Linked DNA regions of Coturnix japonica. The protein of the gene in region 2 binds, or shares a complex with, the protein of the main gene of each other region. Links are inferred from orthologs where the notes say so. Each region holds a gene or a part of one and is shown on either strand. Other genes may lie near its edges.

What was found.
Region 1: GTF2E2 (region 2) and DNA-directed RNA polymerase II subunit RPB11-a share a complex: the UniProt entries of both Homo sapiens proteins name them as parts of the TBP-based Pol II pre-initiation complex. The link is inferred for Coturnix japonica from reciprocal best matches to the Homo sapiens genes GTF2E2 and POLR2J.

The regions. Positions count from the first base shown.
Region 1 is NC_029534.1:3,074,106-3,089,639, forward strand, and holds DNA-directed RNA polymerase II subunit RPB11-a, read right to left. Parts: upstream 8,208-15,534; 5' UTR 8,129-8,207; coding exon 8,076-8,128; intron 7,939-8,075; coding exon 7,849-7,938; intron 7,744-7,848; coding exon 7,569-7,743; intron 6,616-7,568; coding exon 6,580-6,615; 3' UTR 6,237-6,579; downstream 1-6,236. Other genes in the region: LRWD1 (leucine-rich repeat and WD repeat-containing protein 1), read left to right, coding at 101-442, 1,034-1,160, 1,369-1,478, 1,890-2,097, 3,074-3,146, 3,232-3,372, 3,681-3,778, 4,337-4,498 and 2 more; ras GTPase-activating protein 4-like, read right to left, coding at 8,329-8,450, 8,555-8,604, 8,676-8,796, 8,868-9,003, 9,072-9,209, 9,281-9,592, 9,661-9,798, 10,227-10,413 and 12 more. UniProt on the Homo sapiens protein: Core component of RNA polymerase II (Pol II), a DNA-dependent RNA polymerase which synthesizes mRNA precursors and many functional non-coding RNAs using the four ribonucleoside triphosphates as substrates.
Region 2 is NC_029519.1:30,650,152-30,664,736, reverse strand, and holds the end of GTF2E2 (transcription initiation factor IIE subunit beta), read right to left. Parts: intron 9,682-14,585; coding exon 9,566-9,681; intron 8,534-9,565; coding exon 8,417-8,533; 3' UTR 7,609-8,416; downstream 1-7,608. Other genes in the region: RBPMS (RNA-binding protein with multiple splicing), read left to right, coding at 36-186, 460-590, 865-927. UniProt on the Homo sapiens protein: Recruits TFIIH to the initiation complex and stimulates the RNA polymerase II C-terminal domain kinase and DNA-dependent ATPase activities of TFIIH. Both TFIIH and TFIIE are required for promoter clearance by RNA polymerase.

The DNA.
Region 1 (15,534 bases), on a different chromosome or scaffold from region 2:
TGACTCTGGGAGGGTACGGGGATTTGAATAAAGGATCTTTCTTACTTGTAAACCATCTGTGCATCTTGGGGAAGCTGACAACTGACAACATGCCTTACAGGTCACAGTAACTCCCAGAAAGAGGAAAAGAAATCGTTCAAAATCACGTTCTGGAAGGAAGAAGTCCAAGTCCCAGGCAAAAACCGAGAAGGAGACTGTCCCTAATCCCAAAAATTCCAGTCAAGAGAAGGATGACCCAGCTCCTGATAAAGCAAGAGCATCAAATGAGCCAGCCGAAGAGGCAACCGCTGAGCAGGGAAATGAAGGGACTCATAAGAACAGAGAGCAGTTTCCCAAAGGGCAAAGCAATAGGAGATCCAGCCAGCTGACAGGAGAACAGAAAAGCCAGGAACAGGACAACGGGGTTGTTAATTTGACCCCAGTAAAGAACTCCAAGGGCAAGGTATGTACATCACCCCACTGGGGAGACAGGTTGTCAGCTTCTTGGTTTAGTGGGAGGAGCTGCACTGAGATGTCAGGAGAGCTCTGCATATCTTGGAGCTCATGACTGGATCGTAAGATACAGATTTATTCTGTGATCTCTTTTGTTTTAAATCTCTGAAATTTCAGGGAAGGCTCCACTTTGAACACAGTGAATTCTCCTCAAGGGATGGATGGACCAGCAGATTTGGTGCTCTTAAAGCCTGTTCTTAGAAATGGGACTGGCATGACTTGCTCAAGCTGATGGCTGCATGGGGGAAAGTGTTTCCCTCTCAGCTCTTATCAGTGGGGTTCTAAAAGGGTTTTTCATGTTTCTCTGCAAGAGGGAAGAAAGTTCAGTGCTGGGGTCTGCGGGACACACCTTTTCTAAAAGAGTTTCTTTCTATTTTGGGTGTCTTGAGCATCAGTGGCACCTTAATTTCTCCTGCCCAGGAGGGCTGAAAAATACTCTGGTTTAACTCAGATTGCTGTATTTGGTAGAGGGGTTCTCCCAAGGCAGTCACTAACCACTGTCAGGGGAATGGATTTTCTAAATGTGGATGGTTTATTGTAGGAGGATTTCAGTGCAGAGCCATTGCATTTTCTCCAGTGTCACAGTAAAGGAAACAGCCGCGAAGATTTTAAAACGCAGCTCTGGTCCTGTGTCTTCGAGCCATTGCTAGACGGTGCACCCAGGAAAGGTGAGCCCTTAAAGAGGTTTTCAGGATTCCCTGAACCAGCAGACCCCATGTGTTAGACACCAGCTTAATCAAGCTGTAATCTCTGTTGTCAGAAAGAGATTTGTGTATATACTTCGACTTATGAAAACAGGATTCTGGGAGAGCACCGGGCCGTGTGCAGTCTTCATATGTTATCCATGATCTTCTCACCTTCTCTTTTCATTTTCAGATCCCACTGTGAGTTGTTCCAGAACTGTGGCGACATGTGGAGGGGAGTCTGTCTGTCTGATCGACTGTGAAACAGGGGTGGTGCTGAAGAAGTATAAGGTGGCTACAGAGGTAGGTTGTAAATATGAACAATAAGTATTAAATGGAAATTCCAGATTCCTCTTTAATTCCATAATGTTGTAAACAATTCTGAAAGAAGGTTACAAGCATTACTGTGGACAGGTCTTAAAAGATGGGTAGTAAATATTTCTTGCTTGTCCTTCTAGCCTGGTTTGCTTTTGTTTTATCAGTTTTATGCCTCTCTCTTATTCAGAGAGGCATATGTGTGTGTATCCAAGCTGCTAAGAAAGCTTGACAGCATAGACAAATGAACATCCTGTTTGGTTAGATTTCATTCTTCTAAAGGTGTTCTGAAATGCAGTGCCTGTGCCTAAATAGTCATGTCAGTTCACCTGGATTGCTCCATGGCAGCTGTTATCTCTGAACTAACAGCCTTCCTGCTGTCTCTCTTTTATGTCCTAGGAGTTCTTCAGTGTTGCATGGACAACTCTCCCAATGGTGATCAGTGACAGTCGGAAGAAATCTCATAATATCTTGGCAGCTGCAGGAAGGAGAGGGATTGTCAAACTGATTCATGTGGCAGCTGACTTCTGCTACGGAGAAATAAAGGCTCATAAAAAGCCCATTGCAACTGTCTGCTTCAGCCCAACTCAAAAAACTCACCTCTTCAGTAAGTCTCTGGTTCAGAATCTCCTTAGCTTCAGTACCTCATCTGGAAGAGGTTGGGCTTCCTTCACAAGGGGATCCATCACCCTTGCTAGCAGGTGTGGGGAGCTGAGTGTTTACTGGGACCACACAAGCATGAGTTATAGACAGGCCTTACACAGAGAGCTCTTTTTGGGTGCCACCAAAGCAGTGCAAGTTGTTTCAGACAGTCTGACTCCTTAGCTGAGGTGCAGCAGCTCCAGTTTCTCACTCAGTAGCTCCCTGCTGTGCAGGCTCTCAGGCTGCCACAAACCAGCCACAAACAGTTCCAGCAGTGGATTCGTTCCACAGGGATGGGTAAGAAGAATGATAGGCAGAGCAGCCTGCTGGGGGCCAGGCAGCAGGCAGCCAGCTAGCAGGGCGCTCGTTAAGCATGGCAAGAGGGACAGTGCAGCATATCTTGGCCTGTTGGGTTTTGTTGTTCTAATGAGCAAAACAGTGCCCTTAATTGCTTTGAAATAAATGAAAATCTGTAGAGTTCTGTGCCTTGTCATAAATTTCTGTCCAGGTCTTGAGGTAGAAGTGAGCTGCAGTGGGCCCCACTGAGATTAAGGCGTAAGGAGTGGTGCGAAATGAACCATCGTGTTACAAATTGCAGCTGCATTGTCAGGTCTGTGAAGTAAGCTGTTACAGGGACATTCAGATCACACCTGCACCCCAAGGCACATTGTCCCTCTTGCCTCCAATTGCTCACATCCTGGAGCAGTTACACGAACCATTAAAGTGGAATGTCTTTAAAACAAGGGCAGCTGCAACGGGTGCTTTCCAAGAGTGTAAAAAGCAGAAACTTAGATTGGGAAGTTGTTACCACATCCTTGTATTGCTTAGTAGTGCAGGGCTCATGAGCTTGACAGTGTTGCTCAGGTGTGGACAGCAAGGCTTATTTTATTTAATACAAAAATCTCCTGTGTCACTATCTGCCTCTCTTCTGTGTCCTACAGCTGCATCCTATGACAAGCGAATTGTGCTGTGGGATATTGGAATTCCAGACTGTGACTACAATTTCAAAGCAAGGTAAAGGTACAAAAAAAATAGATGTGGCCAGTCTAAGAGCCTGTAACTATTGCTTTACAGCACCACTTCACTGTTCTCTTTTTAGCCAGCTGCTGGTACTGGAGTGTTTGTCTGTACCCTTACGGATTGCCCTCGTCCCCACATGCCCAGAGCAATACCTGCTGGCTGGCTGTGAAGAAGGCTGCTATGCATGGAATATAAAGCTGGAGAAGGAAGAGAAAAGCAGGTGAGAGCAAGAGTTGCTTTCTGTAACAACAGTAGTAGTCGTAGCTTCATTTCATGTGGAGGTCTGTGCCAGGAATGCAGCGTGGCTCACCAAATTGAAAGGGAGTAAAATAGCCGGCCCTGAAGCAAGCAGGCTTCTGGTGCATTGAAAAGTCCAGGTATCTGAATAATTGATTTCAAATAGGAAATTAATCTGCTTTATCTGGAAAGAGATTAACACATGGATTTCCATTCCTTGGGTTCTGCATCTAAGCCCATTTTCAGTGCTGCTCATTCAGGGCCTGAATTATTTCACTCTTCCTTCCCCAGACCTTTTGAAGCCTCATTCAAATTTCCTGATGAGGAGGGAGAAATGTCAGCGTCTCACAGGGTCGATGGTTTGGCTTTTCTGAATGATGATGTCGTAGGTGAGTATAAACGGGGTGGCCAGATCTGTAAGAAGTCAGGTACCTCGGTGTGGAAGGATAATGCAGAGGAAGTAAATGGGGTGTAACTGCATCTACTGTAGATTCTGGAGGGCTGCACTCAATGGAGTTTCCTTCTAGACTCACTGAGCTAAAAAGATGAGATATGGAGTCATGTCTGAGCAGAGCTGGAAAAAAAAGACAGACCCAACACAGCAGACTTTGCTTAGCAGTGCTGAAATGGAAGGGAAAGAATCCTTTGCTGTTGGAGGGCTGCTAAAAGCCCTTTGCAGAGGATTGGGTCCCACAATTTGGAGGCTCTGTAAGGCCTAGAGTGGGTCTTTCTGAACAGCTCTGCTTGTTGCAGTTTTGGAACATGTGTAGGACTGGGAATCCCCCTGAAATTTCCAATTATCCTGAATTAAGGTAAAAGAAGCTGAAGTAGTTGCTGCTGCTGTCAGATCCCATGTCTTGAAAGCCACTTTCTAGATGGACTGCCTTCCCCAGCTGTTCTGAAGCACTTCTCAGCACCTTTACATCATCTTCTGTTTTCTTCCCTAGTTTCCAAGAGCTCCAAACCAGGATGCATTTACTTATGGAGCTGGAGTTGTTCTTTTGACACGAAGAGGAAAGGAAGCCAGCGAACAGTGCCTGCAGTTATTCTAGCTGAACTGGAGTGGTCCACAACAGACTTGTCTTATCTCACACTCAGCACCTGCCCAGGTAGGCAGCACCCTTCTTCAGCACTCCCAAGTAACAAGGCTGCACCAGAGGCTGCCATACTGCTCAAGGTTTACTTGTTTACAGTTGCAAATGCCTCCCACTTGCTGGAGGAGCCTGTTGTTTAAAGCAGAGGAGTGGATTTAATGCCCAGGCTAAGAGAGCACAGCTGGCCTGCCACTGTGAGCAACAGGAATCCTTAACTTGCAGCACTGCAATCCCAGCACAGTGCAGCTAATGGGCACCTGCTGCATATAAATACTTGAGGCTGTTCCTTGGCTTTTAAAGGCAGAGGTGTTTTACCTCGCTGTGATACACCTGTCACAATGCAGTGTAAGGCTAATGAGGAGTAAAGAAACCTGATCTGAGCATTGCTTTTCAAATCTATGGAGTCCGAATGGGGGTTCCAGAGCTGGGTAGTTTAGTGGGGTGGGTTTTTCTTTGGTGCCAGAAAGATAATTCTGATGGAATGTAACATCCTCCATTGAGAGGGTAAAGCGCTGCCTGGAGCTCAGCTTTATAATAGAATGGACCCTCAGCTCCACTCTAATTTCCCTGCTTCTTCTTTTAATCTTACAGCAAAACTGCATGTGTTCTGCGGTGATGAGAAGGGAAGTGTGTGGATTTACCACCTCTCCGACTACACCACAGCATGGAGCTCTGCCAAGGGAAAACACTCAGACAAGAGAATCCCGCCCACACAGGTAGGTCTCATTTACCCTCTGTGTCAGAGCTGTGCTTCCCTTCCTCCCCAGGGCAGCTCTCTTGAGTTTCACACCAGAACATGCCTCGTATCTTCTCTACCTAACATTCACAGCCAATTAAAACCAATCTCCAGAGTGTGACCAAGGTCACTTCCAATCACACACACAATTATGACAGGGATTATGAGCTGCAAAGCAAATTTGTTCACTCCTGTGTGCTGCAGCTTGTCAACTTTTCCTTGGGTAAAGGCCTCTCTGTAAAAAATATGATTGTTTGACTATATATGGCCTGGCAACACAAGCTGTTCCTGCGCTGCTGTCTGGTGTGCAGCCACTGTTTCCCTGTCTGGATGAGTGGAGGTAACAGCAGCAGCTGCTCCTTGGTAGAACTGCATGTGGGGAAGGGGAAGCTTCTGGCCTGTGTTCCTGCTTCTCTTTTGCTCATTCTTTTCCTGAGCACACTCCTGCTGTGGGTCAGTAGTGTGCCCTAACAACTACACATTCACAAAGGCTGTGAGGCACGTGTGGTCTTAGCTCTAACTGTATCTGGTAGGGATGTGACCTCTTTGGACCCCACCCAGCTCCAGTTGTCAAACCAGGCTTTGCAATAATTGATATTGCCCAAGTTTCATGGACAATGATACCATTCCTTTCCTACACAAACTCTGTTCTCCCTGTAGATTCTCAAATGGCCGGAGCTTCAAGCAAATGGGGAACACCTGAGCGAAGTCTACATAAACAACGTGATAACAGACCCTACTTTCACTTACCTTGTTGCTCTCACTAGTGTGAACATTACAGCCATTTGGAAGAAGTCATAGTTCCTTGTTATAGAAGTTCATTCCCCGTGTTTTGAAATAGTGCAGTATTAGTGACTGTTACCCATATAACCATAAAGTTTTCTAGACCAGCTGTTACGTGCAAAAGGTAAAAGAGTTCGTTAAGCACATCCAGTCATCCAGGCTTTTTTCCTGTAAGTTTACACAATTTGTGCATTTGTTTTATAGAAATGACACTTAATAAAACAAAACAACAACTCTGCTGGCAGAATCTGAACTTCTTGGAATGGGAAACCAGGGCTGTGACCCGTTATTGCCACTCAGCATCTCCTCATTGCCATAAGGGCAGTGAGACTGAGCTACAGCATAGTGCACATAGTGACAGTGAGGCTCCAGTTAGAAAAGTGAAAACCATTTTAGTGAATTAAGCCATGAAATCAAACAAGACATGTCAGATACAAACATCCCCTCCCAATACTGCTGCCAAAGTCAGTAGGACTGGAAGGAAAGTAATTGGCATTGAATGAAGGTTTAAATAAAGCATTTCACTCAGACACATCGTTCTTCATCAGCAGTGTATCACACTAAGAGCAGGCTGATTTCACTCGATTCCTTCTTGTTTGTCTTTAATGGCAACCTGTAAAGAACAGAAACAGAACCGTCAGTGGATGGTTTAAACACTGATTTCATCAATTTCACATCAAACAACAACTGCATGAGTTCAGGGGAGACCTTATTGCTCTATAACTTCCTGAAGGGAGGTTGTAGTGAGCTGGGGGTTGGCCTCTTCTCTTGTGTTATCAGTGATAGAACTAGAGGGAATGGTTTTAAGCTGCGCCAGGGGAGATTCAGGCTGAACATTAGGAAGTTTTACTTTGCGGAAAGGGTAGTCAGGCATTGGAATGCACTGCCCAGAGAGGTGGTGGAGTCACCGACCATGGGAGTGTTCAAGAAAACGTCTGGATGTTGTGTTGTTGAGTATGATCTAGCCGGGAAGTATTGGGAATGGTTGGACTAGATGATCACAGAATGACCCGGGTTGGAAGGAACCTCAAGGATCATGTAGTTTCAACCCCCCTGCCTGGCAGGGCCACCAAACATACACATTTACTAGATCAGGTTGCCCAGGAGACCCCATAGATTCCCCATAGAGACCCCATAGATCAGGTTGCCCACGGCCCCGTCCAACCTGGCCTTGAACACCTCCAAGGACGGGGCATCCACAACCTCCCTGGGCAGCCTGTTCCAGGGCCTGACCACTCTCCTAGTGAAGAACTTCCCCCTGACATCCAACCTAAATCTTCCCTCTTTTAACTTCAAACCATTTCCCCGTGTCCTGCTATTGTCAGCCCTTTCCAAGAGTTTACTCCCCTCCTGGTTATAGGTTCCCTTCAGGTTCTGAAAGGCTGCAATGAGGTCACCCCGCAACCTTCTCTTCTCCAGGCTGCACAAACCCAACTCCCTCAGCCTGTCCTCATAGGGGAGGTGCTCCAGCCCCCTGATCATCTTCGAGATGGCAGCAGCTCTGGGCTGAGCCCTTCCCTTAGGTTCAAAGGATGGGCTTCTCGCAGTGCTCAGAACTGAGCTCACCCTGAATCTCTCCTCCAGCAGGGACAGCTCGCTGATCAGGTCGGTGATGGCGTTGGTGAAGGCCTCCTGGGGGCTGTAATCCGGGGTCGTTTGGACGCGGATGATGATTTTATGTTCCAGGGGGTGCGGGACCTTGTAACCTGCAAACAGCACCTGGGGGTCCTTCAGCAGCTGCCTGGGGGAGGAGGCAAAGCAGCAGCAAACAAACATACATTAATAGATGTAAGAGCTTTATAAGAGCCCCAGCACTTGTAAGCAGCGCCCAGCTCCCTCAGCTCACGACTTGATGATGTTTCCCAGCGTGTGATCCTCCTTGTTGATGGTGAACAAACAGGCGTTGGGCACCTTGGTGTCCTTGTTGATGGTGATCCTACACAGCACAGGGGGCGGCGATTCACTGCCACAGCCCGGGCGGACATGGGGGGAACCGGGGGGGCACGGGACGGTCCGGGCAGCCCCCAACCCCCCACCGGACCCCCCCCATCCTCCATCCCGCCCCCTACTCACTTTTTCTCCCCTTCGAACAGCAGGAACGACTCAAATGCTGGCGGCGCGTTCATCCCGCCGGCTCCGCACCGCTCCCCGCAGCGCACACAGCGTCACTTCCGCCCACAGCGCCCCCTGCCGTGCGGGCGGACCGTGCGCAGTGCGCTATAAAGGCACGGACACGGAGCGGGTGGAGCTGCGCATTTATTGCCACGCTGCGACCCCCCCCCCCCCCCCCCCCCCAGCCCCATCCCGGCACATCCCGGTCCGTCCGTCACGTCTGCGGCTCCGGCAGCTCCTGCAGGGGGGGCTGGGCCGGGGGCAGCCGGCGGTGACAGCGCTCCAGGTCCTGCAGCGCATCCAGGAGCCGGCGGAGCGCGGGGGTCAGCGGTGGGGCTGGGGGGGGGGGAGAGCGGGGCGGTGAGACCCCCCGGGAATGGGAGCAGCCCCAGAGCACAGCGCCTATGGGGGGGATGGGGAGCTGGGGGTCCTTTCTCTACCTTCTCCGTTCTGAGGGTCCCCCGGCTCCATGAGCTGCCGGCACTTCTCCCTGCGGATAAAGGGGCTGTTGGCCGCGGGGCAGGGGGCGCTTTGGGGGCTGCCCCCGGTTGTGGGTCCCACCTGAGGGGCTGCTGCAGCCCGTGCAGGTGCTGGAAGAGCCGCTGCGCCTCCACGTCGGGCTGCAGCGGGTCGGTCCAGTCCTGCAGGGTGATGCTGTGCCGGGTCCGGCCGCAGCCCGGTCCTATGGGACAGAACAGGGGCTGAAAATAGCGGGGACATCACCACCCCCACCCCCCACCCAGCAGCCCGTACCCGTCCTGTCCTTCTGGTGGCAGCAGCTCCATTTATCCCCCCTGAAGACCCCGGGGTGGTAGGAGCGCAGCAGCTGCGGGTTGTTGCCGCACACCTTCCTCAGCGCAGACAGCCACTGGTTCAGCTCATTGACACACTGCGGGTTAAACAGCGAGGTCACACAGTACCCCAATGGGAAACAGCCCCGTCCCCATCCCAGCCCACCTTGCACTGCAGATACGCCGTCTCCTGCTGCCCGGCCTCATCCACATAGACCACCTGCATGACGTGGCAGCTCCCAAAGCTTTTCTCCTCCACCTTCTCGGCCGCTCGGATGTTGGCCAAAGCGATGGAGCCGCATCTCTGCCATTGGGGACACAGCGCTCGGTGCCCTCCGTGCCACCATGGGATCCCACCACCCCACGTCCCCCTACCTCTGCCCCGGGGCTCTTGCTGAAGCTGAGTGCCTCGCTGGTGAGGCAGAAGTGCAGCTTCTTGGATGCAGAAGCAAGCAGCGGCCCTTTGCCCCGTGTCTTATGGACAAACAGCAGCCCCTCCTTCACCACGTTGCTGCGGGGGGCACAGGGCTGCTCCTCTCCACCCTCCTCCTCCTCCGTGCCCACCAGGCGGGTGATGAAGGCCCTCATCTGGGAGGCTCCGTGCTGCAGGGCGGGCTGCAGCGGGGCCAGCCATTCCTCCTTGGCTCTCCCTGCCGCTGGCTCCATGTTGCCCACCATCTGCACGGCCTGCAGACCACGGCATGGTGGAGTCGTTGCCCCCAGTGCCACCCCGCTGTGCCCATGTCCCAGCTCACCTTGGCCAGCAGCAGCAGCGTGCGGCTGGTACGTGCATCAGCGTGTGTCTCCCTCAGGTGGAAGAGTTTGGGGGTCATGATGGCGGGGGAGAAGAAGCGCAGGCACAAGAAGCTGGTGACAGCCACGAACTGAGTGTGCTGCAGCCACCGGGGGCAAGAGATGTGTGAGGGTCCATCCCCATGGCACCATCCCTCATGATGCTTCAGGGTTGGATGATCCTCACAGCCCACAGAATCACAGAATGACCCAGGTTGGAAGGGACCTCAAGGATCATGTAGTTCCAACCCCCTGCCTGGCAGGGCCACCAAACATACACCTTTACTAGATCAGGTTGCCCATGGTCCTGTCCAACTTGGCCTTGAACACCTCCAAGGACGGGGCATCCACAACCTCCCTGGGCAGCCTGTTCTAGGCCCTAACCACTCTCCTAGTAAAGAACTTCCCCCTAAGCCCACCCAGTTCCAACCCCCTGCCTTGGGCTGGTTGCCCCCCCACCAACTTAAGTCACCCATCATCAAGCCATTGGCCCCATTCCTCCATCCCCACTACTGGGTTTGGAGCTGACCTGATGCTGGGGGAAGCGCTCCCCGACACGCTGGAAGAGCTGCCGGAAAGCAGCACGGATGACAGGAGGGCAGGTAGGAGCCGATTTACTGATGGCATCTAAGAGCTCCCCGAGGTAGGACTGCAGGAGCTGGCGGCCCTGCTCCATCACCTCACTCTCTGTCTGCACCCGGTGCAGCCCCGAGCACCTGCGGGTGCACAGACCCCATCAGTCCCATGGACTCTGAGTACCCCCACCCACTGCAGCCCCTGTGCCCCTTACCCAACGTCCTTGATCTCCACCTTGCTGGGGTCCAGCTCCACGTATTTCTTCTCCTCAAACACCCTGGAGATGGTGGGTCCCAGCACCGCATGCAGGTACTGCATCCCTGTCACCTGCCCAGGGGACCACAGCACCCAACCTTAGGGGGTTTTCTCCAGCTCTTGGCCCCAGAGGCAGACACAGCTCCCCATGTCCTTCCCTTAGGACAGCATGGAGCTGTGGTGAGCTGGAAGGAGCAGGGTTTGGGGTGAAGCTTCCTGCGGACAAGGGGGATTTAGGGGCAACAGCACCTTGAGGAAAGACTCCATTGACTTTGAGGCCAGGGAGTTGCTCCGGAACAAAGTGTTGGGTTCACCTGAGAAACAGGAGGAAGCCAGTGGAGCAGCCCCAGGTACCCACCAGGCATTTCTACCCTACCCTGGAGTTACAGGGATTCTCCAACCAAACACCTGCCCATTCCTCCACCAACTACAGCCAATGATGATGATGAACCCAACGTGTTCCCAACCAGAGCACACCAGAAGTTTTACAGCTCCAAATGAAGGTAAGGAAGACGCAGCCCTGCTCCCAACTCAGGCTTACAGGGCTTGGCCAGCTCCAGCTCAAAGAGCAGGTCCAGAAACTCCTTCACCAGCCCTTGGCCCAAGAAGAGCTTCACCAGGTTGATGGCCACATCCTGCCGGCACTCGGCCGTGGTGGTTTCATCAAGGAGGGTGACCAGGTGAACCCCACCGGCCTGCAGGGACACAGGACATGGTGGCACAGTGGTAATGACTGTGACCGCGTCCCATTGGGGCTCTGCAGTGCCTCACCTGGTGCCCTGCCTTCACCTCCTGGCACAGCAGCTGGACCAGGGGCTGGTAGCAGTGAGAGGGCAGCACGGTCTCATCCCGCAGCCTCACCTGCAGCTGCAGTGAGCCCAGGCTGCCCCGGCGCCTGTAGGAACATGGAGAGCAGATCCAGACCATGCACCCCACTGCACATCCCTCCGGAACACCCCAAACACTCACCTGTCCTCCCTGGGTTTGGTTGTGTCCGGCTGCAGCCTGAACCAGCCCTCCTGGTGCCCGGCTGCCTGCAGCCCCTGCACACTGACCACCACCTGGGGGAGGGTGGGACGGGCTCACATCCCACCCCAGTAATGGGGCCATACAGGGTGTTTCTGAGGGCTCACCTTGCCCAAGAAGTCATTCTTGCTGACCAGGTCCCAGTCCCACACCTCTACACACAGCTTCTCCGCAGGGGGGTTGGGCAGCTCAAACTCAAAGGCTTCATTCCAGCGAGGATAGCAGGATTTCTTCACCACCTACAAAGGAGATGGCTCTGGCCCCATGGCACACACATCCCACCCCCATGGGGACATCAGGGGATACGCTGAGTTGAGCTCACTGTGCTCTCCTGTGTTTTGCCATTGTAGCTCACACAGACAAAGGGGTCGGACGCACCGTTCCTGTCCTTCTTGGCCAAATCCCTGTGGAGGAGAGGGTGAAATCCCACCAGGCCCCACCAGAGCCATCACCCCATGACTGGGACGTCCCCATCCCCAACATCACCTGGCCTCCAGCACGGTGCATCGCAGCCGCTGCCCGCCCTCCAGGAGCTCCACACGGAGGTGGATTTCCCCCTGCACCTCCTCATCAGGGTCCACCTCGTTGAGGCTCACCCAGCCGCTGTATCCTATGGGACCAGTGGGCACCATGGGCATAGGGTGTGGGGACACGGCTGGGTGTAGGGCTGGGGACACCCCGCTGCCCCCTACCTCTGGGGTGCTCTGCCAGCATGGAGCGGGTGATGCACACCTTCCCAATGACATCGTCACGGCTGCAAGACACAACAGGGAGGTGGCACGGAGGGTGGCCGGGCAGTTTGGATGTCCCAAAGCCTCCAACTGCACAGCCAGGTGTGGATTCTCTGCTGTCTGCTATGGAGTTGAGCATTGCCAGCCCAACCCTGCATTGTCCCCAGAGTGCTCTGCCTGTACCTGAGCGCATCCTCATCCATGACGTAGATAGAGATGCTGTGGAAGGTGGGATGGAGCTGCACCTCATACTCCTCCCCCCAGAACGGGGACAGTGTCTTCCACACCGTGGCAGTCCTGTGGGACAGATGGAGCCAGCGACATCCCAGCATCAGATGAGCAGGGCTGGTGCACAGCACCCACACTGGGGTGGTTTATGGGTTGGCACTGGGGTCCATGTCTCAAGCTTTGGGACCCAGATGGGAGTGGGCAGCAGGGCTCACCTGATGATGGCCTCATTGTCAATCTTCACAATGCAGTACGGGTCGCTGCTCCCCGTGCTGGAAGGCAATGGCATGACCCCATTAGCACTGTAGTGACCCCGACTTCCAGGCCCTGATCACAGCATCCTGCTGGCAGCTCCTCATCCAGATCGGAAAGGGAACAAACAAATCCCACCCTTTCCCCAAAGCAGGAGCTCCAGGAGCCAACACAGCCCCCTTGTAAGGTTGAATGATATGAAGATGGTAACAAAGATGATGGCAAATATTCAAAAGGTTATTTGTAAAGGAAATCTCACCCATATGGATGCCTTCACTGGGAAATACTGAAGCAATCTCCACCAGGGAGCAATCCCCAAGAGATGCTGCCTTAGTGGTGCTCAGCCCTTAAATGGGGTCTAGAGGAGGTGGAGTCGAGCTCCACCCCTTCCAGGAGCACAGCTCCATTACTCTCACCTGTGCTCCCACATCTGACCCCACACTTGCCTCAGCTGATTAATCAGAGGTTCAGGCTGTGATTACCAATTTCTCATACACCCTCCAGCCCCCAAATGGACCCAGAATCCAGATCTCTCTGTAGGGACGGGACCAACCCTGGGGACACTGCGGTGACACGGACCCCTGGTCACAGCGATGCTCAGTGAGCTGCCAACAGCTCAGCTCACCATTGCTGCGAGCTGCTGCCAAAACAACAGCACTTTATGGCCAGCTCAGTTCCTGAGGACGGTGACTCACTGCGGCCGGAGGCGGCGGAGCTGGCGGAACCAAACTATGAGGGCGAAGGGCTTTGGGTTCTCAATGTGGGGCTGGCAGCTCCCTGTAATGCTGGAGCCCAGAGCTGCAGGGGGAGCACAGGGGACAGGAGGGGTCGGGGAGGAGACACATGGTTGGGATGGTGGGTTTGCAGCAACAAGCAGCAGGTTGGGGAAAGCAAAATGAACAAGGAGAAGCTGAGAGCTGCCGCTGTCACCTCCCATGGAGCTGCATCCCGAGGTGTCCCCACGCAGGGCAGCCCCGTGTCACGCTGGTTGCTAAGAGCAGGGGCAGGTTGGGCACGAACACGGCGGATGAAGCATCATTAACCCCGCTGTATTGCTGACATTTCCTGCCTTGTGCAAACCATTTGAGCACACACACAACGATGCCACCTGCCCCGCACACAAAGCAGGGGATGCTCTTTGTCTTCCTGCGCTGAGGATGCAGGAGCAGCACAGCGATGTGCCATAGGGCAGAGCGTTATTCCGCCTCTTTATGGGCAGTTGTGTTGGGGTCCTGGTGCCAAAGAGGCGCCGGGCAGGGGCTCGTAGGAGGGAGGGGGAAGCACAGAGCGGCAGGAGGGGAGCTGAGCATGGAAACAGCGTGAAACGCGTTGATATCACAGCGCTGCCATGAGATAGAACGATGGGGCTGCGGTGTCAGCGTGCCCGGGGACACACCGTGCTGCGGGTGGGCGGCTGCGGGCGGACTGTGATCCATCAGCAGCGCTGTGACATCTCGGATTTCTATGGGGAAATCACAGCGATCCCAATGGAGAAGGGACGGGGGGGGGTCATAAATCCCGGGGATGGAGCTGTGCCCGTGGCACCATCCCAAGCCACGTTCTGCCCTCCCAAAGGCACAGCCCTCAAACCCCCCCCCGCTCCGGCTCAAGGTCCCCGCAGGGCTTCGTGCCAAGGGACTGAAAAACACGAGCCCTGACACACGGGGCTTAAAAAAACCAGAAGCTGCGCTTCTTCCCTTGTTTATCCTCTTTTTCCATGACGGCTGCGGGGTTTTTTGCTGCTTTTCCAGCCGCCCGCAGTGCGCTCCGAGGTGGCTCCCCATGGATGGGTCCCCCCCTGTGCTGTCCCCATCCCACCCGGCGCTGTTCTCAAATCCTGCCCCATAGAGATGGGAGCGGTGAGGATAATGCTGGGACACACAAACAGCTTGAAATCCCCACCCGATGGGGACAGCAGCCCCTGCAGCAGGTGCTGGAAGAGGGACAGAGACACGGAGCCACCCCAGGGGGATCCCAAAGCTTTACATGGGGATCCCAAAGCATTGCAGGGGGATCCCAAAGCACTGCAGGGGGGGGATCCCAAAGCACTGCAGGGGGGGGATCCCAAAGCACTGCAGGGGGGGGATCCCAAAGCACTGCAGGGGGGGATCCCAAAGCATTGCAGGGGGGGATCCCAAAGCATTGCAGGGGGATCCCAAAGCATTGCAGGGGGGGGGTCCCAAAGCATTGCAGGGGGGGGGTCCCAAAGCATTGCAGGGGGGGGGTCCCAAAGCATTCCGAGCTGCTGGGATTCAGCTGGAAGGAAACCTCCCAGAACTGCTGGGAGGATCACATCCAATCCTGGGGGAGATCCTAAAGGAAGGGCTGCCCCAATGCCGTGCAGGGGGAGATCCCAAAGCACTGGGAGGAGACATGCTGAAACCATCCCAAAGAGCTGCAAGGGGTGACCCCAAACCCACCCTATAGGGATCCCCAAAGCACTGGATGGGAGGGATACCCCCAAAGCTGTGCTGGGGGCTGGATCAAAGCAGTGTATAGAGGCAAGATGCCACCCCCCATCCCCGGCAGCACTCACATGTCCTTGGCCGGCAGGTTCCTGCCCTCCACGATGCGGATGGACAGCACGCAGCGCCGGGACATGCGGGCGGACGGACGGACGGACACACGGACAGAGCGGGCGGCGGAGCGCGGACTCGAACCCGCGACCACAGAGCACCGAGCCCATGTGCGGACCGGCACGGAGGGCGACCAATCAGCGAGCGGCTCTGGGTAAATGGGCGGGGCTTAAGGAAACGGGCGTGGTCTTAT
Region 2 (14,585 bases):
CTAACTGACCTCTGCTGCCCTGTTCCTTTCCACAGGGCATCCGCTTCGACCCTGAGATCCCCCAGACCTTGCGGTTAGAGTTTGCTAAAGCCAACACCAAGATGGCCAAGAGCAAGCTGATGGGCACTCCCAACCCCAGCACGCCCCTCCCCAACACTGTACCTCAGTTCATCGCCAGGGAGCCCTGTGAGTGCTTGCATCCTGACCCTGGTCCGCCCAGTATATGGCCCTGGCAATGCCCCTTTCTTACTGAAGCAGTTGGGGCAGTGATACCTTAGGAGCTGGGTGCAGGGAAGCTTTTGGAGAGGCACGGCAACTGTGGTTGGGTTTGGAAACCAGCTGCTTGTGCTTGGGATGACGCAAGGGCAGGTGACGGTGGCCTGGGCAGAAGTGCAAAGCTTATACCTGCTGTCCACTTTCCCCTTGCTTTTAGGATTAATTTTCCTCCTTTTCCTGCAGATGAGCTCACAGTGCCTGCACTTTACCCCGGCAGCCCTGAAGTGTGGGGGCCGTACCCTCTGTACCCAGCGGAGCTGACGCCTGCTCTACCTCCTCCTGCGTTCACATACCCTGCTTCGCTGCATGCCCAGGTAATGGCACTGGCTCACAGCACTGCAGCCTTTCTGACAGGCAGAGCAAGAGGGAGGGAAAGGAGGGGAGCTCTGGGGCCAGCTGCCCAGAGGAAGAGCAATGGTAAATATTATTGCAGCCTCATACTTCCCCTGTCAAGGCAGCGCTGACAGGCAGCACCTGTGCTCCTCCTGGAGGAATCAGCACTGCAGCCACCGCAGCCCCAGGGTATGGCTGCACTACCCTTTGCTGCAGTTTTCCTTCCTGCTCACCCCCTGCCCCCATGTCTTGCAGATGCGCTGGCTCCCTCCCTCCGAGGCTGGGTCTCAGGGCTGGAAGTCCCGTCAGTTCTGCTGAATGCTGTGTAAGTGCCCCCCGGTGTCCTCCGTGTAGCACACCTGCGGTGCCAGCCAAAACTTGGGTAGGAAGGGGGACGTGCCAGCCCCATCCCTGAGCCCTGCCATGCCACCCACAGGTCTCGGGTGTGTGATGGCGGCCGACGGTCAGTCTTGTGGGTATGAACAGAGCCCCCCGGCGGCTGCTGGGCACGCACGCTCTCTGCAGAACCACAGTGTGCTGGTAAGGAGCGCAGTGCTCGGGCACAGGCTGTCCCCCCATGCTTAATCATCCACAGCGGGGGTGGGAGTTCCAACTGCCCTGTCACCCCACCCCCTCTCTGCCATACAGCTTCCTGCCCTATAGCAACACTGGTCACACTCCTCTTAAACTAAAAACACAACCTAACTCTGCCCTCCTGAACAGCCACGTCCCAGTGCCACGCCTGCCCCATGCCCACGAGATGTGCCTGTACAGGGGCAGGCTGGCTGCTGCTCCCCCAGGCAGCATTGCCTCCCCAGCCCGGCTGTGTTTGTAACCCGTGCCATTCTTGTTGTAGGCTAGGAAGAAACCTCACACAAGTCTGGATTCCTCCAAGACTTTCCCACAGCCTCTATCACACATCTGTTCTTCTAGAAGAAAGCGAGAAGCATACCCCGTATAATATTTCCCTCTTCTACACTGTATATTTGTAAGAAAGAGCGTGTTACTGCTGAAAGCATGGTTTGACAGGCACTGCTGTAGCGTTTGAAAAGTATTTTCAAACAACCCCTAGGAAAGCAGACTGCAAAAAAAAAGAAAAAAAAGCAAAGCGAGAGCAAGTATTTTTGTACCAAACTCCTGAACAGGACAATCTCACACCGGGCTGGATGAGAGTTCTGGTGCTCAACATACAACAGCACGCCCTTAGCAGCCTGCCTCCTCCCATCCACAGGCCAGAACGTACGCTGCCTCAGCAGTCTGTGGTGCTCACAGTGCTCCGGCGACATCAGCATCGCCTCTGCACCCCAGTGCACTGCCAGCATTGGGGTTCTCTTCCCGGTGGCAGCACACGGCACCAGCCATGACAGGCAGCTTTTTTACCTTGGCACGATGTTAATGGCTTGCTGCACAGCTCCGGCAAGGTGTGATGTTTGCATCAGGGATGGGCAGAGACAGCCCACACATGTAACAAGGTGAGAATTCGCCTTCTCCTGCCACGGCTACTCCAAGATGTTAAGGGCAATGCAGACTGCTGTGCAAGGAGCTGGACTTTCTGATCCCTGACAACTCTGGGCCACGGGACTGGGATACGCACCCACTGCTGCAGGGCTCTGCTGCAGCTTCAGCGCCCAGTGATGCCAGTCTGGCTGCAGAGCGTGTCTGTGTGGAGCAGAGCCCAAGGAAGGCCGCTGGTTACACAGGGTGGGATGGATCCAGCACAGGGACTGCATGCCGGTGTCCTCTTTGCACCAGGAGGAACTGGCATGAGGAAGAGTAAAGCAAAAAAAATAAAAATAAAAAAAATCAACCCATTTGTTTCTTCAAAAAGGAGGTGCCAACCACATCTCCATTAATCACCTGGGCTGAACTCCCAGCCTCTCGCCCTCCTCCATTTTCTGCTTTGGCCACAAGCAGCAGGGAACAGGGCTGCCAGAGCTGCACAGGTGGGGGCAAGAAGGGGTGCCACAGGGCCACCAGCGTGCAGCAGGGTGGGCAGCGGTGCCTCGAGCAAAGTAGCTCTGCAGGGACAGCACAGCGCTCCCAGCAACGGACTATTGTAGCAAACTGTTTCCTGTGTTTTGTTCTGTTTTTGTGGAGAGGAAAGGAGCTTCCATGTTGTCTTCTCCGCTTTTGGAAATATGTTTAAAGGTACTTTTCTATTGTAATTTTTTAAAAATAAAGCCAGTGATTATTGTAAGTTACACGTGGAGCGTGGCGTACTGTGATTTCAACAGGGGACAATGCACAGCAGCAAGGCCTGGAGGGCAGACAGCAGCTGCCCGGCTCAGCTTCAGCCTGTAGGAGAGCTGCAGCAGGCAGGATGGGGGAGCAGCAAGCTGTAAGAAACTCTCCAAGTTTATAAAGATGTTATCGGTTTGTTTCTAAACTCCCCATCTTGGCACTGAGTGCGGGAGCTAAGCTGCGATTTTCCATGAGCTCAGCTGCAGATGAGGCAAACGTAACCTAGAGACGATGGGCCAGATTATTATTATTTAACGCACTGAGAATTTTCAAAAACCATCCCATCAGCCCAAGCTCTGAATTCCTCCTCCATCAATCCCATCCCAATAACTGTGGGCGGTCCCCCGAGGAGCCCCAGCAGCAGCCAGGCTCGTGCAGCATGGTACCAGCAGTAAGCTCGGTCTCACAAGCGCATCTGAAGGACGTGAGCACATGCAGCTCGCTGCTTGGGGCAGGCAAGAGGCACGGTGTCACTCAGCACGCACAGCTGGCAGAGATGAGCCACGGGTTAAGGCCTCAGTGCTGGATGCTAATCCACCCACGGCCACTGCAGGTCACAGCTTTCGCTCTGAGCAGCACATCTTGCCTGGCTCAGAGCAGTGGGAACCGGCCCACACTGTACCCTTGGCCCTTTCAGCACGAGGCACAGCGCGCTGGGAAGCAGCACAGCAGCAAGTGGCTTCAGGCTGAGGGAGCTCATGGCAAGAGCTGCCCTGCAAAAAGAAGCTGAAAACATTTAACATCCTGAGCCCCTTCTTTTGTTTCCTCTATGCTAAAATATTTTCAGTGCTGTGCTGGCTGGCCTTCCCCTCGCTGATGAGGGCTGGGAGCAGTGGCTGCCTGCCCAGGCCCGGCATCCCCTCTGCCTGCGTTGACCTTTCCCCATGCAGGCCGGGGCTGCACTCCCCCTGGGACAGCTGGACGCCTACAGGAAGGCCCTGCCGATAGCATTGCAAAACAGTGCTGGGAAGCTCCAGGCCAAAGCTGGCACCCAGTGCCACGGCCAATCCCATGGGTATGCACAGGCAAAGCTAGAGAAAACGAGATGGGGAGAGGCACTCTCAACGTTGCCACTTTCCCAAGGCCTTCCCTCTCCAGCCCCAATGGTCAAGGCTGAGCCAGGTAGAGGGAATGAGAGCAGCCCCTTCCTGTGCCCTTGCTCCCCAGGGCAGGGGGAAAGCCCCGCTGCTGGCTCCCCAAACCACTCAGCACTGAGTACTGGGGGGGAGGGAGCAAAGGGCAGACAGGGTTGCCCCGAGGCCAGGTGGCAGTGCTCCCACAGGGCTCTGCTGGAGTCGTGTGAAGGAAAAACAGGTCCAGGAGAGGAAAGAGGGGACAGTACCGGGGTTTAGGCAGCAGGATGGGGCCAAGAGATGGCCACACAGTTGCTGGTGAGGCAGGCTGGGAGGGAAGCTAGCAGGGAGGCACAGCAGGCCTAAAAGACCTGAGGCTGGCCTTCAACACTCAAGCTCAGTGCCACCCATAGGCCAGAGACCAAAGTGGTGGAGGGGTTTAGAGCTGAGAGGGACCATTAGCAGCTTACTGAAATGCTGCCTCTACAATATGGGTAAGTCAACTATTAGCAGAGTCTGGACTTTGTCTCCTCAGCCTCCATAATTAATAACTAGCTCAGGAGGGAATGGAGAATGCAACATAACCACGGGAGACGGGAGGAAGTCACACAAGTACTTCAAGGCCTTGGATGTAAGCCCAGAAAGGCAGGTACAGTCAAAAAATTAACTCAACAAAACCTCCTGCCCTCCCATCCTTTCCCCTGCTCTGCACAACACGCAGTCCACAAGGCTGACAGTCTACACCACGTGGGTCCCAAATGAAGTTCTCAAGGTCATAGCTGTCTGACAGGCCTGCAGCATGTGCCGGCACCCCAAAGCAGCAGAGATGGGGCCAGCAAGCTGCAGCAAGACCTGCTTCTACTGCAAGCTGGGCGGCACTGAGTGAAATGAGCAATCAGAAAAGGGTCTCAGGTCTAGCCTACCAAGGGCTGAGCTCTCCCCAGCAGCCATCAGACCCTCAGTTGGTGGTGGGTACACCCTCAGTCCTACCAGATATGATTTCCCAGAAAAGTAGCTGCCAGCAGTCCCTGAAGCAGTAACACACTAAGGAATTCCAGCCTGGTACATAAGCAGCGACCGGAAAGCAAGCAACGAAGCTGGAAATAATAAGATGTCAGTACCAAGACTTCTTCTAGTTCTCTGCAGCTTGCAGCCCCTCCTCACCCACAGGCAGCGGGGCCCAGCCATCCCCAGTGGCCTAGCACTGCCTGCCCATGCTCATCGAAGTGACAGCGCAGGCCAGCCGCATCCACGTGTGGGGGCTTTACGCTGCGCAGCAGGACTCCCTGCCCCTCCCTGCCCTGCTCTCTAAAAGCCTGGTATGATCATGATGAATTATAGATAAGTTCTTGTACAAACTGTCTTATGTCAGTTTTCTCATTCAACCATGCTAAATCCTGCTGTTTTCCATCCCCTTCCAGAATGATCATTGTAACGGGAGGAGGAACAGCTCCTCCCCAGAGCAACTTTTAGGAGACAAGCCAAGAGACCTCCACGCTCAGAGCTGCGACTCCCTGCGGCTATTTCACCTGCACTGGTTTCAAGATACAGGGCTTTTGTTCTGATGATGGGGAGGAGCAGGCACATACCCAGCAGTGCCCGGCCTGGATGCTCACTTGAGTGCAGTGATGGGCTCAGCTCACACCTCTCTTGACCCACTTCAGCTCACAGCTATCCACTACGAGGGCAAAACGCCTCCTCCCCACAGCTTCCTTGCAGCTACAGGCTAAAGATTCAGTGAGGCAAGCAAAGGGATGACGTGGGCAGCGCTGACATACCTGAGAGCTTCTGACACTGAGAGAAAGCTGTCTCTTCCCCGGGGTCCTGTCCATATGTCCATCAGCATCACAGAGGGGGAGCTGAACACCCCTCTGCGTCTGGCTAATCTGGACAAGGTGATGTAGCAGCTGGGCCAGCACCCTGCATGGAGAATATAAATGGGAACACTGTGGAAGAAGATAAAATAGGCTTAAGGTTTTAACAGCTGTTATCTCTTACATTAAACTTCACCAAAAAAACTGACTTGGACATTATGCTGTGAGGTGAGTGAGTGGATGGGAGTGCTGCTAAATATTTTCAGCAAACAGACTCGTGTTGGCACTGTCTGAGACATTTTCAAGATATACTATTTGATTTTAAAGAGGTACTTGGGGAGTGGAGGAGGAACAAAAACAACCCAAAAACACAGGACTGACAGCTGGGAGCATCTCTGATACAGAAATAGAACTCATCTCTTCAAATCCACACAGAAGAGAGGAGCTCTTTCTTATTTTCTGGACTTGTATTTTCTTCATGACTGTTTATCTGTGCTACCTCTCAGGGGCTAGTGTAGGCATCCTGTCAGCTATTCTCAAACTTTGTGACTCTACCCTAACAAGTTTCAAAGCTTATTCTGCCCTCCCTGTTAGTTCAGCAGAGACTTCCACCAAAGAGAAAGCAACTGGTCCACTCTTCCTAACTTGGTATCTACTGGACCATTCTATTCCTTTGAACACTGGAGCCTGACAACGGCACCACAGCACACCAAGCTAATCTTCCTTTCCTGCTCTCTTATTTCTTGACTTAATACAATTTTCATCTTTGAAAGTAGCCAGAGACATCTTTAGTCTCCCTCTTAATCACTTCAGCGGAGAAACTGCACAGGTAACTGCATCACAGCCTGCCTTGCAAGCTTCAGCCCACAGCACAGGGCCAGGCTGTGCAAGATGACTGGGAAGGTACTCCATTAAGGCATGAAAAGCAACTCACAGCTCACCAAGAGCTCTGCTTTTGTCCAAGCAACACCACTAGGAAAAGCACGGCTCAAAAAAATGCAGCAGGCAGAAGGGAATCTTTGTCATTGAACAAAGATGACAGAAAAGAACAGTTTTGCAGGTGTGCCATGGGTGCTTTAAAGCAGAGCTGTAATGGAAAAGTAAAAAGCTCCAAGATGAATCACTTGTGCTAACCTGGAAGAAAAGGGAAAGAACAGGTTTCAAAACCAGCATGCTGCCTGCTTTTTATATATACACATATAAATATAAAAGGAACCTCCTACTGGTGTTGAGCATCTCTTTACACAGGACTGACATGTACCATGTTCAAAGTGCCTGTTTCACAAAAGAGCACACTCTAAAAAGCTTGTGTACTATACAGAAGGATAAATGCTACACTTACAGAAGTTTATTTTTCCTCCTGCGCTTTCCCAAGCAGACGTAATCTGTTCAGCACTCCACCAACAAAGCCTTATTCTTCATCTGTTGGTGTGCCCAGATCCAGCGGCCTCTGCTCCAATCCTGATACATTAGGCAAGACAGCAGCTCATGCGCAGGCAGCGGCAAACTGTTGGCAGGTATCACACTCATCTGTTTCATCTTTGATCCTAACCCCAGAAGAGCTGAGGAACAGCCCCTCTGCAGCAGCACTGTGAAAACAATATCAGCATTGACTGACTTTGGTTCAGTACATAAAAATAAGTTATCAAGAAGACATAATTTGGCTACACTCCATGTTAGGCAGTCTGTACTGCAACCGACATGAGGCATCTACAGCGAGCTTTCATTTAAGGTGGTTTTCTCCCTCCTCCAAACAAGAATGATGAGAGATGACAGGGTTAGCCCAGAACAATAAGTCATTGAGAAGATTAAAACACACCAAAGACTCCTTTACCTCTTTGAAAAGGAAAACACAAGTACACGCTCTCATGTTCTTTAAGGAAGAAACACTGGAAACAAGCACTGTAAGTTTATTAACTTAAAAAAGAAAAAAAAAGAAAAAAGTTGCAGTATTACACTGTCAATTTATTTCCCCTACCCAACAGTAGGACTGTGCAACACAGGTACATTCACTACAGTGAGGAGAAATCGCCTGTGCAACAGAGCTGCATCTGCTGCAGTGAGGAGAAACAGCTGAGAGCAATTTCTGATGAGCATCGAGAAGCAGCAGCTGCAGTGCCCCCCTGCAGCCTGCCTGGAGCTCTGGAGAGGGTTTGTTCCAAGTCAGAACCTCAGGTACCATCAGTTTGGTAAAGTTCAACTCCATAGCAAGGCAGGAACACACAAACTGTGGGCATATTTGACTGTAAAAGAAACTCGCCTGCAGTGATTTTAGGAATAGGTTTCCCTGAAATAGGTACAACAATGCTGTATTCAATTCTACGAAAGCTCCTCTGAAGTAATTCCAGGTAAACACCCATTAAGCAATGTAAAAGCAGAGTTAAGCAGTGAACAGGAACTCCTGTATTTCATGTTGAGCACCATTTATCACTCTATGCCAAGAGGCAATTTGAGCGAACCTTTTATTTGAAGACACATTTCCAATTAGCTAATTAAATTAATCTCTAAATTTAGTAGTCCAAACTTGCTTTTAAACAGATCTGCTCCATCTTGTCAGCCACTGGGATGAGGGAAACACATCACATTACTGTACAGAGTCAGTCTTCCTGCAAGCAGTCGCTGAGCCTGAGTGGCAAAAAGCCTGTGGAAAAACGTCTGTTTGCTTCAAAATTCAGCCAGTCACTGTTGGCCAGAAGTGACATCAGAGTAATCTTTCAAGACTCCAGCCAAATGGTCATTGTGAGTCTTAAATCGACGTTTCTTCTGAGAAGTGGGTTTCTTCCTCTGAGCAGGAGCCTAAAGGAAGAAATAAATGGCAGTTAAAAGATCTGCCTTCCAGCTGCAGCATCCGACCTGAGGTGGGACACACTGTGCTACCTGCAGCATTAACCTCACTGCAAAGGGGAGCTGTGTGCAAAGAAGGAGTAGGCAGGAGGCGAACTGTCTTTATGCAGGAAGCAACTGCACTGAATTCATATCTTGGCGGGGAATTGGCACTGGGGATGCGGCAGAGCCTCCTGGTATCTTGTGCACTGTAGGAGAGCTGGCATTTGTTTGAAAGTGGGATTTCTGAACACTCCCAGAGAGCTACCGAAGAAGGCAGACAGCCCATAGCTACAATGATGTGCTCAAAGACACATAGAGAATAAGCGGAACACAAGAGAAGTGCCCACATTACAGCACATATTATAACATCCACTGTAGCAATGGCAGAAACCAAGAACAGATCCTGTGTGGAAGGGCTTTGTGAAGGGCCAGTCTGAAGCCAGGAGCAGAAGAGAAAAGAGATGGTAAACCATGTATCAGTAAATGTAAAAAGAAAAAACAGCAAACTTGTTCTAAGCCAGGAAGAAAGCATCTTTGGAGATCTTGTTGCCATTCTGGCCCACCAGTAAAGCATGAGCACATTGCACTCTGTCTGGGGAACAGCCCAAGAGTGGTGGGAGGCGGGTTACACAATTCCTATCAGCGTTTTCAAGGCTGTTCAGCAGAAAAGAAAAAGGGAAGAGAAAATCTTCTCCCAAAAGAGCTGCTATTGTTTTGCTCCTAACGTACTGTACAGCTTTAAGGAGAAGCTTCTACTTTGGAGTTCTCAGGGATTTTTGGCATTTGCCCTCTTCTTGATGTTGCTGGGATTACGCTGGCTGAAACGAGTTACAAAAACACTGGCTGCTGGCTTCAGCATTGTTTTTTTGAAGCTTCTTAAAATTGGTTGCACTTCCTTGAGCTACATAAAGCAGCTGTGCATAGGCGCAGGAATTAACATCAGCAAGGAGGGTCAGCAAGGGGGGGAATTTTTCAGAAAGATCTGCAATTTGTATTTCTTACTATTCTCCTCGGTCCAGCTTCTCGCATGGAAGAAATACCCTGTCGTTTCAGGTACTCTTCAACTTTGTCCTCATCTATAGAATCCATGGGAATGCTCCTCCACAGCTTCCGAAACTCTGAAACACGAAACAAACCCTTGTTTCACAACTCAGTGAACAAACCAAACCATAGGCAAAGCCCTTGCACGAAAGGAAAGAAGAAACAGATCTGAGTTCTGACACTGAAGTACTCTGATACAGCAGCCTGCAATGCAGTTTTTGCTGCCAGCAGGCACCCAATTAGCACAGCCTTTACCCACTCTTAAAGTTGGATGCACTTCCAAAACCCACCACCAACAAAAGCTCCCAGTGCTTCATGGAAAAAGATGAGCTGATTCACATCTGCATTAGGCGTACCCCAGCATCCCAGCTTCAGGGGCACCCACAGACAAAATGTGTCTGTTTAATGGTAATTTTCTGCAGCATTCATCCTTCTGCCTAGCACCCCCGTGGCAGAGCAGACTGTTAGTGTGTTTTATAAGCCTCAGTTCAAATGATCCTGGTGAAAGGTAATAACTAACCATAAATGGCAACTTCATTTACACATCTTCCACTGCCATTGTCATGGGAGACTTGCCATCTCTTAGTCCAATTTACTGAAGATTGAAGACATTTAACTTCAGCAGTTGCAAGCTCGTTTATCGCTGTAATCTAATACATACCATGCCGTATGGATAATAAATTACTAGAATTCTTCTGATGTTAAAAAGAAGAGAGATACCTTAAAAACCACAGCAGCAGGAAAAAAAGCAGAGACAGTAAGTCTTAATTAGAGCAGCTGCCATCTGCCTGAGCACTTTCTGCCTCATGTAAAGTTTCACAGAGCCTCTGGAATGCCTTCTCCCGGCAGCGGCTGGTACAGTTCTACCTCCCTTCATTCCCCAGGCAGTCAGTTAGATATATCCTGTCAGCAGGTTTGGCTAACAATCTATAAATAAAACACAAGGCGCACATAGCAACGCAAGACTAAATTTTCCCCTTTATTTCCAGATAAATTTTGTATACAGTTGTCAAAACAACCACAACTTCTGCATGCGTAAGAAGTTGTCCTATGCAGCAGGCGATGAAACACTCCAGTGACAATCTGCCACAAACACACCAGCTCTGGGCACACTGCAACTAAATGGTCCTGTATAGAGCTGTAAAGAGCAGAATTCCACCCTGCACTTGGGCTGTTCCCTTCCTAATGCATCTTGTTTTTCTCAGAATGGGCATGCCTTAAGTCTCAGCTCCTTCTTCCCATTGCCAACAGAAAGGGGCTGTTCGAGCTTCTCCGGAAACAAAAGAAAGGAATTCTGCCAGGGAAGAGCAGCAAATGTTCATTTTTGGTAACGCAGTGCTTTTTAGAACTAAGCCCCGTCAGAGCACCACTTTTGGTTACAAGCAGATAGTGCTCAGCCCACTGCTCGTGTTCAGGCTGTGCAGCACAACAGAATCATTCAGACAGCAAATTTCAGATAACTTAATGCAAGGAGTGACACCGAAGTCAAAACATTCTCTGTCCACTCAGCCATTTTTGGTGTGATTCCTGGCTTTTGGGGTATCTTGCGGTACCTGCTCTCACAGATCATCTCTCACCTCATCCTGTTGCAGCAGGTGGACAGGGCTGTGTTAAGATCAAAGCCAAACACACAGAGGACACTTCTAAGCAATAAGCACTCAGATGTCAGTCTTAAAGGCTGCAGCCTGAGCAAGGGTCCTAGTGCATCCCTCGGGCTGAGCAGGGCACACTCCTTCAAGCTCTTTCTCCCTGTCCTGAGCATCCAAGTGGGACTCAGCAGGACACTCAGACCCGCTGGTGGCTGGAAATAAGGATAACACGATGGCTGTGCAAATTCAGTATCACACTTCTGCAAGAAACCATATTCCCAACCATGTGTTTCTGCAATTCATGCATGAAGTGAGAAGAGTGCATGTAAACACATAAATATTAAACAGATTCTAGGCAGAGATGCTTTCAGGCCACGCTGTGCTCTGCTGCCTTTAGCTCTGCGCAGACAAGCCCTGTGAGAGATGCAGGCAGTTCTCTTCAGATGTATGTGACAGGCACGTGCACACTGGGTGATGGTATCAAGAGAATTGGTCGCTCTGAACTTTTACAAAACAGTGGTCTTCTTCCTACCATGTTGTGCTGCAAACACAAGTGACCTGTCTCCTTACTAGAGTGCACGATACATGGAAAACTATGCTTTGATGCAAAAAAACAACACCCAAAGACAAAAAAACCAAGCAGAGGATAGGTACTTAAGGTTAACTAGCTTACATTCTTCTGGAGAACAGAAGTGAAAAATTAAACGCTAGAAAATAAATGGTCAGCTCTTGAAGGATGAACAACAACAGAAGTGCAGGCTACAGTTAATATCTAACCACAGCATTTTGCATTTCTTGTAATGCAGTGATTATACCATCATTACAGCTTCACATTCACCTTTTAATCTTGGTCAAGAAATATAAACTTAACAGTCACCAAGAACCAATAACATCACAATGCTAAAATGGGCTTTAAGTACAGACAGTTTAATTCATTAATTGGCCCTATCAGAATCACTGCACAGTACTCAGCCATTCTTTTCAAATACTCCTCCACCAATCAGGCAGCTCTAAGCACTGTAGCTCTGACTGCAGTAATTGCAGAAGAGCTTCCGTGGTGAAGTCCCACAGCCGGGACTAAAATACCTTAGTGCCCGGGAAAGTGGAAAATCACAATAAAACTGTCCCCTGGCAATATTCTGTGTTAAAGGGTTGGCTCAGAACAGGAAGAACAGCATAAAGGTGAGGACACATTCACATGGTCGTGCATAATTGTGGTTTGTATTCAGGGTTCCATCTAAAGAGCCAAGAAGTACATCTATCATCTCATCACAAAACCAATTCCGTGTCACACCAGATACTGAACTAAATGCAGGAAATGAAGAAAGAGAGCAGCTGGCTGGCTGGCAGTGAACCATTTCCATATTACCTGTCAGATTTATTCAGTCACCAAGGACTATGCCCCTATCAGCTAGTGAAAGTTTAGACCTTGGGAATACACTGTGAACTACTGTGACATCCTCTCTGAAACATGAGAGCCTATGTGAAAAGCTGGCAATAACCACCACTCCCAAGAAATAGCCATCCACATTTCTGCCCCTCCAGGCCTAAAATCCATACCCTTAATCCATGACAGGATGTGATTTCTCCAGCTACTTTGAGAAGAAACTGAATCACCATCACCCCGGCCTTTGTTGCGACTCCTCACAAAAAAGAGAGTCACCACTTGTAGTAGTTAACGAGAGGGGCCAGTGACAAGGAACTGGCCTGCAGAAACCTGGTGTGGAGAGCAGGAAGGGGACTGCTGAAGCAGAAAGCTCACTGCACACCAGCCTGCTCCAGCCAGGCACAGAGAACAGGTTCAGATGCATGCCTTCCTGCTACACATAAAACCGCGGCAATCCCAAAGTACTTTCTATTTTCCCTCCCTATGTCCCGTCAACTGCTGGGCAATCTTTATGCCAGCAGAGCATGGTGAGGGTGGTAGACTCTTCATTCAGAGTCAGAAAACTATTTTATAGCTAAACCAGGACAAGTAACAACTATGGAAAGCAAGGGCCGTTCAGCAGTCAAGAAGGAAGGCTGCACCTGACCACAGCAGGCTGTACTCAGACAAGCTGCCAACTCCTGTCACTTCAGCTGCTATGACAATACAGAGCTGAGAAAAAATCCCCTGGAAAGAAATTTCCAAAGAGTTTCTGACCAAAGCAACACTGGGGCTGTGAAACCATAGGGAGATCTGATGGCAATGCAGGTCTTTGCCAAAACAGGCAGGGAGCTGCAGTTGCAGCACCCTGAGTGAACAAATCCTGCTGTACGCGGTATCTTGCAATTTGATCACTAAAATATTTCAACCCAGAGGCTTGGCTGAACTAGCACAACTCAGGGGCTGCTCCCCTGCTTCTCCAGATAGTGAAGGAGGGAATGGGGCTGACTGAAAGGCTACTTCAGTATTTGCTAGCATCCCTAACATCAAGGTGCCTGCACGCACAGACTTAAAACAATGAACCTGGACCAGCAGGAAAAGTACACATAGCAGAACAGAGGGCAGCACAACAGAAGTTCTGTAAATGGCCTTCCTCTGTGAAATACCTGAGGGGTAAGGATGTTTCTGCAGCTTTACTGCCTGGGGTGCCTCATAGACAAAAGCAATTTTCGCCACTGTTCCCTGAGCTATTATAATCCAACGCATTCTCCTTCCATAAATGCTTACATTTGGGAAACAGTGTCATGGGTAAGTGGCTGCACGGTGGCTTCCTGCAGCTTACCCTGCAGCTCTGATTGTCTTGCCCGCTCTTGCAAAAAGGTTGAGATGGATCTGGAGATAAACTTCTGTATCATACTGGTAATAAAATCTGTCAGAGATTAAAAACAGCTTAAGAGTCTTCACTGAGCTGAGCTAAAACCTGAGTACAGGACAAGCATGGACAACAACACTTCTGCGGAGAGGGCAGAAGGAAAGAAATTAAGAGCAGTAGGGAAGGTGAAATCCTGCTCTGTAACAGTTCTGCATTTATACCAGGAAAAAACAAGGTACCCGATTTTAACTTAGTGCTGTGCCTGGACCATCTTGTAATTCAAGGCCAGAACTATAAATCATCAACTGATCCTGAGCAATTTTTATACTGTGAAATTTAATAGGCTTCGCCCATTCTTTAAAATCTCTTCAAAGGTGCTTAGGAAGAATATTAAACATACGTATAATCAAATATCCACATTTCTGGGCACTACGGTATTTCCTACATTTCCTTCAGAGGTGAAAAACATCATCTCTACCAGCGAAGCAACTGGAGTGGCCTTTCAGCATTCAGGCCCTCAGTGAAAGCTTGCTTCACATGCAAAGTGCTTAGCCCCAGCACAAAAAGGCAGTGCTTGCCTTGGCTGAAGCACCTGAAATCTAGCCCGGCTTTTATAAACCCTTTCAGCTACACATTACTGACAGAAGATTAATT